Drosophila melanogaster: one gene and its partners. The protein of the gene in region 2 interacts with the protein of the main gene of each other region in a pairwise test. Each region holds a gene or a part of one and is shown on either strand. Other genes may lie near its edges.

Evidence for each region. Proteins that work in one complex are often made in the same cells at the same time.
Region 1: the proteins of Drip (region 2) and mRpS26 interact in a two-hybrid assay, tested with the Drosophila melanogaster proteins (one large-scale study listed by BioGRID).
Region 3: the proteins of Drip (region 2) and RNASEK interact in a two-hybrid assay, tested with the Drosophila melanogaster proteins (one large-scale study listed by BioGRID).

Annotation. Positions count from the first base shown.
Region 1 is NT_037436.4:18,104,068-18,109,612, reverse strand, and holds mRpS26 (mitochondrial ribosomal protein S26), read right to left. Parts: upstream 3,035-5,545; 5' UTR 2,952-3,034; coding exon 2,743-2,951; intron 2,647-2,742; coding exon 2,178-2,646; 3' UTR 2,114-2,177; downstream 1-2,113. Other genes in the region: Polr3D (RNA polymerase III subunit D), read left to right, coding at 221-453, 513-892, 965-1,033, 1,086-1,651.
Region 2 is NT_033778.4:11,425,492-11,432,539, forward strand, and holds the start of Drip (drip), read right to left. Parts: upstream 4,155-7,048; 5' UTR 3,578-4,154; coding exon 3,562-3,577; intron 2,313-3,561; exon of another isoform or gene 1,961-2,312; coding exon of another isoform or gene 1,951-1,960; intron 1-1,950. UniProt on the Drosophila melanogaster protein: Forms a water-specific channel.
Region 3 is NT_033778.4:4,184,722-4,190,514, forward strand, and holds RNASEK (ribonuclease kappa), read right to left. Parts: upstream 3,407-5,793; 5' UTR 3,294-3,406; coding exon 3,225-3,293; intron 3,159-3,224; coding exon 3,039-3,158; intron 2,972-3,038; coding exon 2,873-2,971; 3' UTR 2,114-2,872; downstream 1-2,113.

The DNA.
Region 1 (5,545 bases), on a different chromosome or scaffold from region 2:
ATTAATATTGAGCAAAACCAAAGTCATCTGGCTACACTCAAGTCTATCGACTGCGGTGTATCGGCATGTGGTGTATCGACTCAGCTTTCCCATTAACCTCAAAGGAAAATCAAAGAATTCTGCGGAAATTCTAGCCCAAAACTAAAGGACTTACGGGGAAACCAGAACCCAGCGACTTCGGTCGAATTTTCGAGGTGACGGGCGGCGCGAATGGAACGCCATGCCAGCGAAGAGGATGACGGTCACCACAGCAGCAGCTTCGACCATCAGTGGAGCCAGTGGGTCCACCACGAATAATGGTCAGTCTGGTGGCGGTGCACGCCCACTGGAGACGCTAAACGGAATGACCAGGCTGACCCCCGCCCGCGACTTGACCCTTGGTGGGCGCGGCGCTGGGACAGCCAGCAAAAAGGTCTTTGCTCCCAATTTGAATGCTGTGCGCAATAAAAATGCGTGAGTTGTGGAATGGCCCAGGGGGAGTCATTCTTTTCATCATCTCATTTGATTCACAGCAATGTCAAGACATCCAAGGACACCACGCAGCCAAGGAGCGGCCGCAGAGGTGGACGTGGCAACGGCACTGGAGCAACACGTGGTCGAGGTGGAAATTCCGCTGGCGGGGGCAACTCCACGCTCATCCAAACCCAGGGACTCTTCTCCGAAGGAGCAGGCGATGTTCATGTGCGAAGGTCCACAGGAAATGGAACGGCATATGCACGGGGCGGTGAGGAGGTGTCCGTGACCAGGAAACGGGTGGATCGCAAGGACGACAAGAGCCAGGCCGAGCGGATCAAGGAGCTCTTGGGCGAGTCGGACGCCAGTGGCGGCGAGCTCAGCGAAGAGGAGGCTAACAAGACTGAGATGGCACTCAGGCCCATCCTGCTAAAAGAGGGTACGTTTTACAAGCACTTTTTGATGCACACGGGCAGAAGAAATTCATGCTTTATTTGTTTATAAACGTTAGGACTCTGGGTCACCCAGAAGACACCGATTGCGAAGCAAGAAATCGCCAGTTCAACCTCAACACTTAAGGGTAAGGCGCTAAGCTTTAAAAATGGCATAATCTAATTTGATTTCGCTCCTAGACACTTTGGCAGTGGCCCAGCATTTGCAACAGCTGCATGTGGCTGCCCAGGCAGCCAGTTTAGAGGAACCTCCGCTGCAGTACGGTCGCTACCCACGCACCATTGGTAACTTTCTGGACTCCAGCGAAGCGCAGATCTTTCTCATGCAACTGCCAGATGTGTTGCCATGTGTGGGCGACGATTCCGAAGATCCGGAACCGTCTAAAGGAGATCATCAGGCCACCAGTGAATCGGAACCAGCAAGTCCTGCAGACAAATGCTCAAACGGACCCAAGGGCAGTGTACTACGGCAGCTGGAAGAAGGGCAGATCGGCAAGATTCTGAGGTACAAATCCGGTCGCGTTAAACTCCAATTGGGGGACACACGCTTTGACTTGGATATGGGTCTCGATCCGGGTTTTCTGCAGGAACTCATGTCTGTAACCGCCAATCGCGAGCAACGTAGTGGAAACATGATCAACTTGGGACCCATTCAAGCCAAACTAAAGGCCACTCCAGATTGGGTGCACCTTTTCCAGCAGCAGGATGCGGCATCCAAGCGAACGAATCCAGTACCGGGCACGTAGCACCCACTTCCCCATGGTAGATATGTAATATAGTAAATAGGCTGCGCCTAAGCTTAAGTTATTCCTATTCTAAATGCCGTATATAAAAGTTAAATATAGAAATTTTTATAATACAAATGCTTTTCAAAAGGTTATTAACAATTGTACTCGAATATGGAACATAAAAGAGACTCCAAGAAAGATGGGCTTGGAACTTGGGGATATGTAACGTAAATTAAGCCATCAATACTTAATGCAATGACCCAAGATTAATTTTTAGGTTAATGGATTGTTGATATATTATATGTTCAAATTAAGTGATTATTATAATTTCAAATACGGTCTTAAAATTTGAAAAGTATTCTAGTTCTAGCAAATCGCTTTACAATAGCTAGGTTATCCAATTCCTATTCTTTTGCGCAAATCAAATATACTTAAGTGTGTTGTTTATTGTGCAGAAAAATAAAAAAAAACACGGACTTTCAACTTTGGTTAGAAACCTATAAAAAGCATTTTAATGTAACAACAAACTAAGACACTGCATTAATTAATTACTCAAAACTTGCTGGTTGGGTTCGGGAGTGGCGTCCGGGAGCTGAGAGGTGCTTCGTCCGTGGTAAAGATTACCGGCCATATCGATGGCGAAATTGTGGTCCACGGGATTGGCCAACGCTGTCTCAATGGCTGCATCCAAGTTTTCCCTAGTGATATAGTTCTTGGAACGCTCAATCTCGAGCAGCACCCGCTGGTTGGCCTGCTCCTTGCGCTCCTCCTCGCGCAGCTGTTGTGCCTCCAATCGCTCCTGAATATAGGCCACCTTTTCCTCACGCTTCTTGGCCAATCGCTGATCACGCTCCTTGGCTATGGCAGCGTTCCAGGCAGCATTGGCATCCAGGCATTTCTGGAACTCGGCCTCCTCCTGCTCGGGAGTGAGCACGATGTGATCTGCTGTGGATGTTTCCTCGTGGCGGACGACTTCCTCCCTTAGAAACTGACGCACTGAGCGAAGCTGCGTTCTGAAATCAAGGCGTAGATTGTTTTGTATAACGTCTTTTGAAACCGATTACAAATTATCTTTGACCAGAGACAGAATCTGGCGCTGGTGCACGCACTTGTACTGGTTGTGTAGCCTCATGAGCTCCGTGCGCTCCTCCTCCGACTGCTTCTTGCGTTCAGGCACGCGGAACATCTTGCTCTTGGCCACCGGCAGCCATCGCGGTTTCCTGCGCCAGCGGACGAACTCGAGGGCGAAACTATTTCCGACCGTCTTCCCGGTGGGCAGGGTGGACTGCGTCAGCAGCTGGCATCCCGCTCGCAGCATTATAAAAGCAGTTTAATTAACAAAATGTAATTTTTACTTTGCCGCTGCTGAACTGTTGTGCAACTCTGTTGTCGGTGAACTGGTTCCGCGCAGTTCGATTGCTGGTTCCGTCAGTGATGACCAATATGGAAAATCGAAGAATCAAGGAATAAATCAATCTTAACAAATCAAATTCAGATAGAAAGGCAATAGTAATTTGGTTGTCAACTTACTAAATTTATTGTCGTACATATTCATATTAAAATATAATTATATACTCAGCTACATAGATATATTTTTAGGTACAGCTTAATTTTGCGTTGCTAACAAGTTTTTGCAATTAAATTGCGCAGGTTATGAATGTTTTTTATTTGTCCAAAGATACAAGCTTTGAAGTCCAGACAGATCTGTTGTGAAAATAGCCAAACTTCCAACGCACTAGTGCGTTTCTCACAATTGCGCTGCGCTCAGCTCGGGCTTAAAAGCTTTTGGCCAGGTGAACTTGACGGGAAGGTACGAAAAGTAACTGCTCACTCAGTCGACGATATATCGCCGCGCTGGCCGCATTAAAATCCGAGCTACGGAACTTCGCTGTTTCGCCTCTTGTACGTGGGCTAACTTAAAACAAAAGTGGCTTGCGCAGCCGGCGCGCCTTGAAAGTGTGTGTGTGTTCGTGTTTAAAAAAATAGTGTGCGTTATTGAAAAGCTAAGTCAGTTAGAAGCAGTGTGGAAAGTGCATATTGTATATATCTCTTGCCAAGGCTAAAAGTGTTAAAAGTTAACTCCCAGAAATGCACACACGCATACCGATGCAAGCGAAAAGTTAAAGCGACGATCATTCATTACTGCGTCTTCTTCTTATTCATCTGCTCTTTGCGACGTGTTTCGCTTACCTGTCCAAAAAGCCCGAGTATTGGTGGGCTCCACAGCTCCATAGCTCCCTCTCTCTCTCGCTCTCTTTCGATTTGCACATGCAAAAAGGCAGCAGCAGCAAGAACAACAACAAAAACTCCATCTGAGAGCTTTAAAGCCGAAGTTCTCGACGCAGACGTCGGCGGGAGCAGAGCTTCAGCAGCGCAGCGGCAGCGAACAACTCGTACAGGTTTGTTGGCATTTTTTTTCACATTGGCTTTTGATTTTTGTTTACCTCTGATTGGAATGGCAATTCGCACTGGTTGGACTGTAAATATTGTCTCATATGTGTGTCTCATGTATCCCAACCGCTTACCACGCACAGAATCGAATCGAATCGAATTGGATCGCTTCGTAGCTGGAAATTCTTATAAGGCGATCAATTTTGCATATCGAATTTGTTCAATTGCTTGAACTGCACGAAACAGGGGTTCTATTGTTCTCTTTTAATTAAATAACTAAAATGGGTAATGTAGACTTTCCTTTTTAAAACTTAGTGCCTTAAAATGCCACATCTTCTTTTCTTATAATTTAATTAGTGTACCTTAACTGTACGATTAAAAGTTTACTGCTCTCTAATCGTTGGAATGTTTATCTTATGCAACTTTTTCAATCTGTTTACTTTCACATTCTCCAGCATTTAAGATAAGATTTTATATCTAAAAACGTGATTTAAACAAGATTAATACAGAAAGAATGCAAAGTTGTTGGATGATAACGACAATGTACTAATCTAATTCCCTTTATTTCAATATAAATACTTAATATTCCCAACTATTTAGGTTAGCTTCTGTGATAGTTTGAAATTACCTATCAAATTGTGAGCTTAACTTATTTAAGCCAGTAAATTCCCGCTACACAACTTATTTTCCCACCAACATAACCTCGTTTGGCTTATCAACAACGCTCATTAAAAATTCCGAAAAAGAGTTGCAACTTCGGGGCACTGCACCACGCGACGCAGAAGTCAAAAGTCTTGCCTTGAACGCCTGAGCAAGTGCAAAATCTGCTTGCTAATTTATTTGCCCATCTCCAACCTGAGGTCTTTGAAAATCTAAACACAAAAATGTGTAGGAAAATAATTATGCCAGCAGCAGCAACAACATCAGCAAGTAAAACAGTTTAAATGACTTTCAGTCACGGCAGCTCAGCAGGTGTTGGCTAAAAGGGGGAAATCTGGGGAATGGGCGCTGACTTCAACTTAAATATGCAAACTTTTTCCGCGCTTGGAGAACATTCGCAAATTCTGATAAGAGTTCCCCCCAACTGTAAAACCTAATTAGCAAATGTTGTGAGGCAATTAAACCAAATTACAGTTCTCCTTCTTGCCCGTGTTGCAAGTTGAAAGGCAAGTTGAAGAGAAAAAACAACAACAAATTTGTCACAAACTGTCGCAGTGCGGCTTTGCACTTAATTAAGAGGAAAACAAAAGCGAAACGTGAAATTCAAAAAAAAAAAAAAACTTATAAAGACTAGCGCAAAAAAATTTGTTTCAAAGTAATCAAATATATGCAACGCATGAAATCTTTTCAAATTTTAATAATGTTTAAGAGTATAACTCCATGTAACCAGTAGAACAATAACTAGCAAATTAGTAATAAAAAAACCCTTTTCTGAATTCTAAAAAACTAAGAAAATTGCAGCACTTAAGCTAAATCCCTTTACTTGAAGTATATTTCCTGGTCATGTCATGAGTGTTTTTT
Region 2 (7,048 bases):
GCGACTCCAGACCCAAATATAGTAATCTACATTGTGTCCGAATCGGAATCTATGCCAAGTTGGCCGGGACAGTCAAGTGCATGTCTGGCCCCCGGGAAAAGCGGCGTTGCATTTCCCATAAGCTCGATGTTGCCGCGGATGTCCGCTCGACATGGTCTTCCACCTGCTTGTTTCCAATGTGCTCACATCCTGAGCAGACACTGAGAGATATAGGGTGTAGATTCCAGAAGGGAAAGTGTATACCGTATTTTTTGTGGTATCTAGTAAATGGTAAAACTATCACATAAGATTTTTGGATAACAACATTCGTTTTTAACGATAGGATTACCCTTTTTAATATGGACAGCTATCAGCCAGCATTTGCGAGTACATTTTTCTCTCAGTGTGCCTCTCGTGTCCAACCTTGGCTGAAGCGAAAATCAAAGTGTGGGCTAGTGGTGGAGCCCACGTGCCCATGAATGGAGGCCAAGTCAAAGGCTTGGCTCTTCGGAAGCCGCTCCCAAGTCCTGGCCCCGAATCACTTGGCTGGTTATGCTGATTGGCGAACTGGGGTTGGGTTAGCCATGACTTATCTGCGTATTATTAGAACATGAGCAATGTCATCGCCTGTCGCCTTTTCTCACCTCGTTTTCCGTACCACCAAACTCATTAATTTCATCCTGGCACGCAATTTTGGCATAAGTTTCCTAATTTATGACCATTTCTGCTCATATGTTTCCCAATCATTCAAAATGGAATGGGATCTGAATGGCAAAAGGGATTCGCCCGAACTAGCTTAATGGCTTATGATAGTTTTTGAGGCGTTTTAAGTGCTAATTTTCTTGACTGACGTCACTTGGGACACGTGTGCAATTATAATCGACAAGAAAGTTAAATAAATTAGTGAAGTTTGAAAAGACAGCTTTTATGACTTTGACTTTAAGACTTTGTTTGGAACGCATTAAGCGCAGAGAACTGAACAAAGGACTAAAGGGAGTGTCTTAAGTAATGTTTATTGGGTTGTGTGAAATTACACGCGTAATTCCTTAACCACAAATGCAAATTATGTTATTGTCGTTCATCTGAAGTTAAGTGCACAAGGCATTCATTTCGCAACTGTAAGTGCAAAACAAAAGGTTCTGGCATATTGTTTGCAATCCATTTTTCGTCTACAACAATTAATCAATTTAATCGGATTATTAATTTCGGCTTTGCGCAACTCTTGGGCACTTTTGTTCGGCAAGGTGATGATTTTATTAATAACAGTCGCGGGAAAGATCGAAACCTGTTCGCTGGCTATTAAAATCGTTATAAATTAATTAGTCAGATGGGCAGGGGACTATTCAGTTTTCGTTTGCTCGTTTGCTGTGCGGGAGGAGTACGTTCAAACTCACTTATAATCTTTATGGGCTTTTGCTCCAAACGAATTTATGTCGCTTAACTCGTTTACAATGCACCATAAATCAAAGGCAATTTATTGGGGTTTGTGGTTTATGACTAACTTTGGAAGTTTGTCAATTAATGGCGATAATTTGAGACGACACGATAGGGAAAATTGGGAGACTGAAAGGCTGTTTTTCAGGCACATAATGGATGGCATTTTAAAAGGCAACAAAGTTGTATTTCTTTCGGATTGTTTTTTTAAATTTGCAAAATATGCAATTTGTACACCAAAGCGGACTAAATTTTCGGTATGGCACACAGTCACTTCTACATCAAATCAATAGATATATGAACATTCCAATTATTTTCCGTAAACTTAATTGAACGTTACGTGAATCAAAAACTTTCCATGGGAACCGAACATCTTCGCTTCTGTGCATCTCAATGGCAGCTTATTATCTTAATTATAAGCTATCCGATTAACAAACAAGTTGATCTTCCATTGAGAACGGAGCTCGGTTGGATGGAATTAAGTAAATGGGGATGTGCACTAACTGTGTTAAATGTCTAAATGTTCTCCAGTCATACCAAAAACCATTTCCTGGCCTTAAGTTTGCTACTGTTTTGAATGCCAATTTCACCGTGATGTCATGTCAACTCCGCGCACGATTATTACTGTAATTTTGTTATATCTGCGAATCCGTCGCCACAAAAACAGCAGCTACTAACGTCAGGTGGAAGTCTGTCTACACATATATATATATATATATATATGTATAAAGTGATGTTGGTCCAAGATGACAACGCATTGAATTATGAGGCGGAGAAGACATTAAGCGAAAGAGGGATATCAAATTAGCCACACGTTTGTACTATAATTTGCAGAATTTCAGCGCCAAAGGGCTGCGAATTTCTCACGCACCTCACTCGACTATTTTTAAACGCTTACTGGTCTCAAAATTCCACCCGAGCATTAAGCAGCCACGTTAAGTGAACATATTTAATATCTAAATCAAATATTGAGCCCTGTGTTTAAACACTTGATCAAATAGATGCTCAGGCGTTGACATTAATTAGCTGGAACCGAGAATTCTTGGCTTGGCAAATGAGTATTCAGTGCCGGGTAAATATTATGGTCATTATCACAACGATATCGGCGGAACAGGCGGCGAAAATGACGCCAGAGGTTGGCTTTAATTCTGCGAAGCAACCAGAGGAATGCAATTAGGTTTTTAATTAATTTGACTGTTCAGATCGCACAAATAAAAGTTCCTACTTATTTGGCTCTTAGGGTGTTTTCCTCCAGTTCATTCACTTGACTGACTTGACTCGGTTCGGTGTGGTTTTATTGCTTTCGTTGGGGAGCCATCAACATCATCATCGCATAAATTGCCTCGGCCGGAGTTTCCGCTGTTGTTTACCTAGCTAAGTTTTCTCCTATCTATCTTTTTTTTTTCTTTCCAGGCTTTTCTGTCATGCAAACTTTCAGTTACAGAAATCATCATCAATCGCCACGGAAGCTAAATCAAAGCAACAAAAAACTACGTCTAACTATAAAAAAAAAAATAACTCGGGGCTAATTTGCTGTCTTTGTCATGCTGTGTCAGAGAAATTATTGAAAACCAATCATCTCGTTATCGTTATCGACAGGCGGGCTACTCTTTGATTCGCCCAACCACCCAAAACAAAGAAAGAAAAAAAAGAAAAAGATGATTTATCAAAACATCTTTCGATGGCTTATTAAAGTTGATTAATTGTGAAGGAATGATTAATTTAAGGCAAATTTTGGGTTACTATTTGTTTGCTTTGAAAGTGAAATCCAAAGAGGGGCCTATTTTGCAATAAACAAACTGGGTGCTTTATTAAATCAAAAGTAGATTTGTTAAAACTGTATTCATTACAAATTTTATGGTTTACTTTTGATCGTTTTATTTTAATGTAAAAAAACATAAGGATTGATACACTGGCAATAGCAAATTGCAAACGATTTCGATCAATAGTTTTGGAAATTATACACTCTCATTGGTTTGTGATATTATTCAAGCAAAAGTTGAAAGCCCCAAAAGAGTGGGATTAACTTTCGCACAAAACCATAACAATTTGCCGCACTCTCGCCCCCAAATTTTGCTCGCAATTAACCTTCGCACACACGCACACGCATATTTCGCATTCTCCAGCCTCCAATCGCCAATCACTCACCTGTTTTCTCGACCATTTTGCTGTCTTCTGTCTTCGGTCTTCTGGCTACGATCTACTGTCTTCTGGGGGCTGCCACTTGAGATTTTTGGCAAGCGTGGGGGGTTTCGAAGCGAACTTGTGCTTTGCTTTCGTTTTCAAAGCGTGCTTTTTGCCTTATTGCTTTTTGCTGCGGGTAAAAGTGAGTTAGCGCGCACTCGAATCGAACTGAATTGTGCCAATAGTTTTTTGTGGCCGAAATATAATTGTTAAGGTTAAGAGTCTTGAGGTTGCACAATTGTCTGCCACTTGACCACACGGAGTCGAATATGGGGCGGAAAGCGGTGTTGTTATCAATTTAATTTCACCCGATTGACTTATTTTCTTCACTGGGCTACAATATTTTCAGATTTCCTTTTCGAAATTGGAAAGCGCAACGTGCAATAACTCGATTTTATTATTAGTTTATTATTATCGCCAATTAAACTAACCGCTCCGAACTCGATTTCCTTTTCGGATTTTCGAAACTGCCGCTTTTCTTTCTCGCAGTTTGTACTGTAGTGCTGTAGTGCTTAAAGCTGTGCTACCACGTTCGCTGCTCGAGCGCAAATAAGCGTTGCCAACGCTGCGACTGTAACTGATATACTCTCTGCCGCGGTCGTCGTCGCGGTCGGCGTCGCAGTCGCGTCGCCGTCACTGCCCCATTCAGATTTTTTAGTTTTGGGGCTTGGCCACCGCGGAGCTCCGCATGTATCCACTTGGACGCCTCAAAGGATCTAAGCTCGGAATACACCTACCCCGGATGACTTAATCGAATGGGGGCGCGAAAACATTTGTAATGACTCTTGTGGCTTTTGATGGCTCTGTTTTGGCCAAAGTGAGTTGCTTGCCAAATACTACAATAAATCCCTACTTTGCCCTTCGAAAGTAGCTCTCAGTTAGTTCTGAGTGAAATTAGTCAGTATAACTTGTGGCGTAATTGTTTTTTAAAACAAAACGTATGAGTATGAGTAATACCCCATTCGAGTCTACCCCATAACACGAAACATTTTCCAGTCATGGTCTTATCAGCTGCTAACCGTTACTGATGATATATGGACTCTCCCCCAAAGTTATTCTATAACCAATTGGCATAACATCGGTTTAAATCAACTGTTTCATATCCGAAAAAGCCACTCAAGGGCCTTAGTCTTTAGACGAATCACATAGATATAATATAGATAAGATAGGCACATATGTACATATATCCATGTATAAGATATATATACAATAGAAAATGGTTGTCTTGCTTAGTCTTTGGTAAATGTGATGTGATAATCACATAAAAGCTCCCAAAATATAGCATTGCTTATATGGTGCCAATTAAAAACCAATGAATTGCAATTAGCCGACAGATGGCCAAGTTCATAATCGAATTGTTATTGACCATGGGGAAAGTTCACAGCCATTTTGGGTTTTTGCACACAGCCTAAGAACTATTATTCGCCTGCCATTTTGTTCACTTGATATATGGACACTCAAGGAGCCATAAACACATTTTTGATTAATCTAATTGCGCTGGTCATGCCGAACCTCAGACTCAATTATCGCATAGCTAAGATGTTATCATTACAGGGGGTTTTTGACTTTTGATAATCCACAAACGCTGCACGTGACTGTTTGAACCACCCACCAAACGGTTGTACTAGACCTACCACCCACCCACTCAACCATTCCAATGCCGGAACAGTTTTCATTTTCTTTTAATGGCACCTTATTGCAGCTTTTCCAACTTAAAACGCGGCTAATGGGTTATGGACGGTTGGGCCGTTATCAGTTTCACTTTTAAACAGCTTTTCACCAACTTTAATATGCCATATTGATTGCGGGGCTTTGCTGGTGAAAAGGGCTTTTACCTTGTCGTCGTCGCGGGCTATTTTTATCTCTTAACAGAGCAACAGTTGCGAGTTATTGACAAAACAAGTGACAAGCCAAAATAAAAGAAGACTCGCTCGCCAAGAGCTGCGATTTTGTTTGTGGGGAAGCGTCTTGGCCCATTATGAAAACAAGAGCCAAATCGCAGACGGACTTATTTGTGCCTTCGCATGGGGAATTCAAGCGAAGTATGTATGTATGTACATGCCGGGGCTCTTTTGCTTTAATGAGTAATTATATTTAATGGCAGTTAAGCATTAAAATGGCACAAACTCTGGCTAAATGGGCGAGATAATAATCGCCGATGTGGAGATGGTATATGCCTGTCGAATTACCAATAGATCTTGGCTCCTTTTCAACTGGAGTTTCATTCACCAAAGTGAGTTTGCCCAACGATACCAATTAAAAGTATAATTTTATCTAGTAACTAGATGGGAATAGTTGAAATCATCAAATTAGATTCGCTTTAATTGTTATTAAGCAGTTGCAGATTATCTACTATAGGTTTGTAAAATAGATTTAACAAAACTTTGAATTCATCGAAAGGCACAAAGTAAAAACTCAGAATTAGACATTGGAAATAATTGTTGTTAATGCTAGTTACAGATAGTACGTAGCTGTTGTGGGTAAATTACCAAAATTGTTTATTTCCCTCTTTAGAACTTATACTGAAAATATTATTAAGATATCATTTAAGTTTAATAATCTAGTAGGATATAATCAATAAGTAATACTGGAAATCCCGCTGATTCCCAGACGATCATCCTCCAATGAAGCGAATACAATTTGTTCAAGACCCATGCCAAACCATATACATAAATCATTCAAATGGTCGCTGCAATTACCAAATCCAAATTAAATTTAATTCAGTTTTGTGCAATTATCTGTTTTCTCTGCACTTGGCTCTTGTGAGATGCTTCGAAAACAATTCGAAATACGGTAACAATAATAACCGTAAGCGAACTCCAGTGACATTGAAAGATTGGCAATTGTAACTGAAAATGACGGACGATCGGCAAGTGGATCGAAGAAAAAAAAGCGAAAAAGAAAATGATAAATAAAAATATAAAGTAAACAACGATGTATAATATATAAACGTGTAAGCGCGCACAGGGTAAAACGATGATAATCTCGAACCGAATGGGTACAAAACTCAGTACGCCTTTGGGGGCGGCTAATAAACGAATTGAAATGATTTATTTTTTTGGGGCGCACAATGAGCGCCAATGAGTCGGTAGAAAATTAAATGCCCCGAAATTGGTTCAATCAGGTGGCAAAAACTTGGAGCCCCTGATTGATTTGGCCCGAGCCGAGCAGCCAAAAATCGAATAAAGGTCAATGTCGCAGTCCACCCCCTCTTCGCCTTTTTTTCTCTTTTCCAACTGCGATGCTCTATCTCCGCCATTTGACACTCCATCAATCTTGGTTAGTGGGTCCGGTGTAAAACTGTGAGTCTTCGCGATGCGTGAGTGCCCAAGTTGAAAACTATGGTCTATGCAAATTAAGATTCAGATGGGTTTTCTAGGTATGATATATGGTACACGTGAGGCACAGTGGTCTTCGAAGTTCTGCAAAAATATAAGCTATGCTCTATAAT
Region 3 (5,793 bases), 7.2 Mb from region 2:
GCGCTTGAATCGAATGAAAACATAAAATGTTATAAAAAAAAACTATATGATTTTTGTTTCTATTCACATTGATTACTGTTGAAAATCGTGTATTTTTTGTTCAAAAAAATTTTTGTTGGAAACATTTTTTTTACCGTTACATTGGCGTTGATTAACAATGTATTTTTTTTTTGTTTTTTAAACGATTCTGTACAGCGGTTTGTGGTACATAATTATAAATTGCGTTTAGCATCGGTTCCAACTCACATGATTTTTTTAAGTTTGTGTGTTGGTGTTCGTTGCTGTAGGTTGTTGGTGATAGTGATGGTGGGTGGTGGTTTTCACCACTAGTTGAGCGCCAATTATTTAAAGATGAATCGCACCGTCTTGCGTATTTTAACAATATTGTTTTTTGAATCTCTCTTTCGCTTGATACCGTTAAAAACAGCGCGAAAACGAAGAGAAATGCAAATAATGACTGCCAATTTTTGTACAGATTACCCATTACATTCTCTTACAAGATTGCACGCAGACAATCAATTTTTGTTTGGCACAAGTATTGTGACAAGCTTATTTAGTAAATTGTATCCTTTTTTGAAGCACTTGTAAATCAAAAATTGTTTAAATTGTACTTTTTATGATGTTAAACGTTATACAAAAAGAAAAAATAAAAAAAATTTATTGATTGATGGCCATGGGTGAAAAGGCCCAGTTAAGTTCGTTTATTGTTGTAGATCATCAATGGAAGCACAGTTTAACGTTGGAATTAAAGTAAAAAACTTTGCGAAGCAGTTTAAATTGCCGCGTCAAACTGTGTATTATCAATTTAAAAAGTATAAAAACATAATGATTTAAAAAAACTTAAAAGGTTTTAACGGCCTTAACAACATTCACTGACGACAAAGTCTTTATGAGGGAATTTAAAAAAAAATTTTCCAAAACCCCAGCCGTTGAAACGCAGTGGAATCTGACCGCCAGGCTTCCCAAAAGTAGTGGCCGCCCAGTTTGACGACGTTTAATGGCACAGGGCGTGAGGACATACATATGTAATAATCGGTGCCCAGGGAACACCACGGGGAGGCCACTACAATTGTAATGGGTCCTATATTTACATGAACTTCGCGTTTATTTTCCACTACTTACCAATTACTATTTGCGCTTATATTTCCGTACTTTACTATTGCAACACATTTTGGAAATTGTTATAATTGTAATTATAAAACAAAAATTTTCCAAAAAAAGTCATTACATTGAAAAAAAATTGTCTACAAATAATACGTTGTAGAAAATACTGCTTAAAAAACTGTTTATTACAAAAGTCTTGAAAAATCTTGAGGCACGAAGTGCGGACACAACGTCGCGAGCTGAATACTCTAATGACAATTATTTTAATATAGTCATTTTTGAAATTTATTTTGTGATATTATGATTCGGCTATTTCTATTTCTAAGCTTTATTAAATAATAGTAACGTTAAGGCAATGCAAAACAATAATTTTTCACATGGTGCCTATTTATCAAAAATAATATAGATTTAAAGTCTAAGAACTTTTAAGGTGAAGGGCATATTTTGTCAAATTTACAATGCATGAGCATACGTGTGCACACATACAGTTGTCTGCTATCACTGCAGGCGTCGAAAAGAGCTGTTCGCTGTAGCGCTCTCCGCTCTCTCGCTCTCGAACAAAAATTTGAGAGTATGGCACTACGCATCTGTTACTCTAGTGTCTTCGGTTCGGTGACTTGGTCCCTGTCTCCGGCTCGATGAACCAAAGGCAATGTTTGACGACCCTAAACGAAAATGCGTTTCCTTCTGGAAATAGGCTGATCGAGGATCATTTATCCTGCAGAAAGATTATGCTCCGTGCCACAAAGCCCGAATGATAGCCAAGTTTCTAAAGGCTGTTGGCGTCACTCTCTTGAATTGTGCACCTCAAAGTCCAGATTTAAATATAATTAAGAAATCTGGTCTCTTTTAAAACGGAAAATAACTGTTCCGTGACACAAAACTCGTTAGAAGGCGATTTCTGAAATCACTTCTCTTTTTAAAGAGATGATCCTTTACAATATGGAGGATTTAGTAAAGGTTCGACTTACTTACACACAAAAAATAGACATTACTATCATATTAAACCATTTAAAAGTTTCACTGAAAAAAGGTTTGGAGTTTATTTTGTCAAAATGCTTACCGACTAGTGTATGTGGATACAGCAACACAGCGCACAAGATAATCTCGTGTTCATATGTACATGTTACAGAACGACGTAACGTAACATAATTAATTACCAGCTTGATATAGGAAATCAAGACAGTAATGACCTTACTAACTACTTTAATTAATTTATAAATAAAATATTTGTAAGTTGGGTAATTTAATAATAGCTATCAACAAAATTAAAAACAGTACGAATAATTCATGTCTCGCCAAACCGTTCCACACAATATCAGTAATAACCGTAATAAACATTTAAAATACCTTTTTTTAGGTCTTCCGTAGGTAAAATTCCCGTGGAGAAATAAAATATCATTTCAACAATTTGTTCAGATTGACCTCTTTAATAAAAAAAAGTGCTTTCATGACTCTGAAGGAAATTCCGGAGTTTGGATTTATCGCTACTATAGTAATCAAATATATTAATTCTCAAAATTTAAATATATAACAGAAATAAGAAGTGAATGGCGCACTGAACACATGAAACATAAAAAATGAAGTGAATAGTCTTCTTTGGGGTTTAAAAAACACAAACTCCTCACTCCGCCCCTTAATACAATAAGCATGTTGTAACATTTAAATTGAACTTTAACTTTATTAAAAGGAAAACACCTCTAACAAATATATCGAAGGGAAAATTTCAATACTAGTTTTAAGTAGTTGGGAAACTACATCTGAAATATTAGTTGGCAGTTACTCTGCTATTCATGTAAAATTGCTGGGCGGAGAGCAACAAAGTCAAAACATATATACATGCGGCAATCCAGCAGTTGTAGGCATTCTGAAAAAATTTACCTTGCATTAGCAGACGTATGTGTACATATGGTTGTTGTAAAAAGAGAACATACCTGATTGTATGCTCTATTTGCAGCTGCATAAAAATCTTCCAACGAATGGTATTCCTCCTCAAGAGGTAAGTCCTCAATGAGGGCTACACTATTTATGTAGAAGAATAGACCCATTAAAACCTTTAACATAAATATGTAAGTGGTTACTTTTTGAAACTTTGACGAAATTAGATTCTCAGTACTCACCAATTGGACAATACCCCAAACAGAGATAATAAGACCACAAAGTGATAGTTTCGGGCCACAGATTTTCATTTTCTTAAATTTTTGTTAAACACTTTTAAGAGAATAAAAAGTTTCAGCAAACACAATTCGTCACAATTCCTCAATGAAAACTGTGATTTTGTCAGGTGAACATATCATGTGACCAAACTTTTGGTGTGGCTGTGCACAAATAAAATTAAAAAACTGATGCAAATGTAAGCGATAAAAAACATAAGCTCGTCAAACTAGCGTCGGTGAGCTAGTGACGATTTAGGAGCGGTGGAAAAGGAACAAGGGCCGTTTTAGTAATTTTAGTCACTGCCCGGAGCGTGTGAAGCGCAATGGTCAACATTCTACTGCCCGGAGCGTGTGAAGCGCGATGTCAGCATTCTGCCGTGAGCGCTGCTTCAGAAAACGGGCTACTTCATATTAAGCTTAAGTTTTCTGTCTTTAGTTTTAAAACTCATCAGAACGCGCATAGTCGCATAATAAATCGCAATACACAAAATCGTTGCCTGTTAATTTATATAACAATATATATATAATATATTATAATATATATATTATATATATATATATATATATACAATACAATACAATAAGTATAATAAATAAATATATATATACATATATATATATATAATAATAATAATTTTAATATTATTAATTTTATTATTATAATTATTAATATTTTAATATATATGTCGGAGATTGAGTAGATCTAACATATTATTTGAATTATTATTTGAATGTAACCGACATTTGTTTATTGATCCGTATGTTAAGGATGAGCAGCGAGTAATAAAATTCACGGAATGAGTTCCGTTATTGAGTGGGCATCATTTGTGTGTGTATTCAAATTAGCATGGCGCCTGTTGTTGTTGTGGTAGAGTTTTGTGGAAACGAAGTAAGGATAAAACAAAAAAAGAATTTTGAAGATGAGAAATAGAAGAATAGCATCGAGAAGGCGACGCTTGAGTAAATAAGTCTGGTGAGAACTGCCAAAGAGACAACACGCAGGCGACTTGCTGTGCTAATTAATTGGACGCTCGGCTTCACCGACATATATATATTATATTATATCATATATATATATTAACATATCCATTCTATACCCACAACTCCCCAACCACACACACTATCGTAAACAATTACACACACACATCAATGTGTAAGTACGAAATGTAATTAAAGATCGAGAGCCCTTCGATTAAGCTTAGCTGTCAATTACTCACAGCAAAGTGCAAAAGTCCGAATTCCAAAGTCTAGACTCTGCGTCGAGCCAACGTCCACGTCCCCTAAATATCCGATCACTTGGTGAACCAACTGAAATAACAAAAACTTCCGCCCACACAATCGTCTCAGGATTCTCCAATTAATCCTATTTTTCGGAAGCTCCTCTCTTAACAGGAGAATAGACGTTGATAACGTTGTTCTCTTAAGCTTCGCTCTTAAGCTATCCCAATCTGCCTACATAAACCCAAACATGCCCCAATACGTTAGTTCAGTTCTGAGTACGTTATCAATCGCCATAACCCTGCTTAAGATTGAACCACGCGAATCGGCGCTAAAGTGAACATAAAATCGTAATACAATTAACTCTTTTATCCGCAAAAGAACTACTTATAATCGGTGGTTGACACGCAATAGTCAAACCTACTGCATACGGTCAATAAAAGTGTAAAAACAAAAATAAAAATAAAATCATCAGCCATGGCAACCGAGCAAGTCAAACTGTTATCGGAATCCCATCTGAATCAAGCCTTAAGCCAAATTAGGCAAATACCCACATTCAGTGGTAATACCCCAGAACTCAGTGCCTTTATCCGAAAGATCGATTTCATACTTCCAGTCTATCCATCAACCGACACCAGTTAAAAACATGTATTCTTCAGCGCAATTGAGATGCAACTCGCCTCGCGCGATAAACGAGTTCACATGCGTCTGATTTGGTTTTTCCAAAAATATTGACAACCTACAATTTCGTCTTGTCTTATTTTTTGATAGGGTTTTATCAAAGACTCTAGAATAACAAGATGCGTACCGCCATAACGACTTTTTGGCACACGATTTTTTCGGCGTGGCTCTAGAGGTGGCTCCAGGCTCTCCCGAATTTTTGTTCAAGATCGAGAGAGCGGAGAGCGCTACAGCGAAAAGCTCTTTTCTACGCATACAGTGATAGCAGACAACATGCATTGTAAATTTGACAAAATATGCCCTTCTCCTTAGAAGTTCTTAGACTTTTAAGGCAATGCAAAGTCTAAGTCTAAGCAAAGTCTTAAGTCTGTATTATTTTTGATCAATTGGCACCATGCGAAAAATTCTTGTTTGCATTGCCTTAACGTTATTATTATTTGAAAATAGATTAGAAATAGCGAAATCTATGTACATCACAAAATAAATTTCAAAAATGACTTTACATTAGAATATTTGTCATTAGAGTATTCAGCTTACGGCGCGTAAAAAATTAAATTTGTAAAATTTATGTTTTAGATTACAGTAGTTATAATAATTTCCTTTGTATTTGCTTTAATTATTTAGTATATTTATT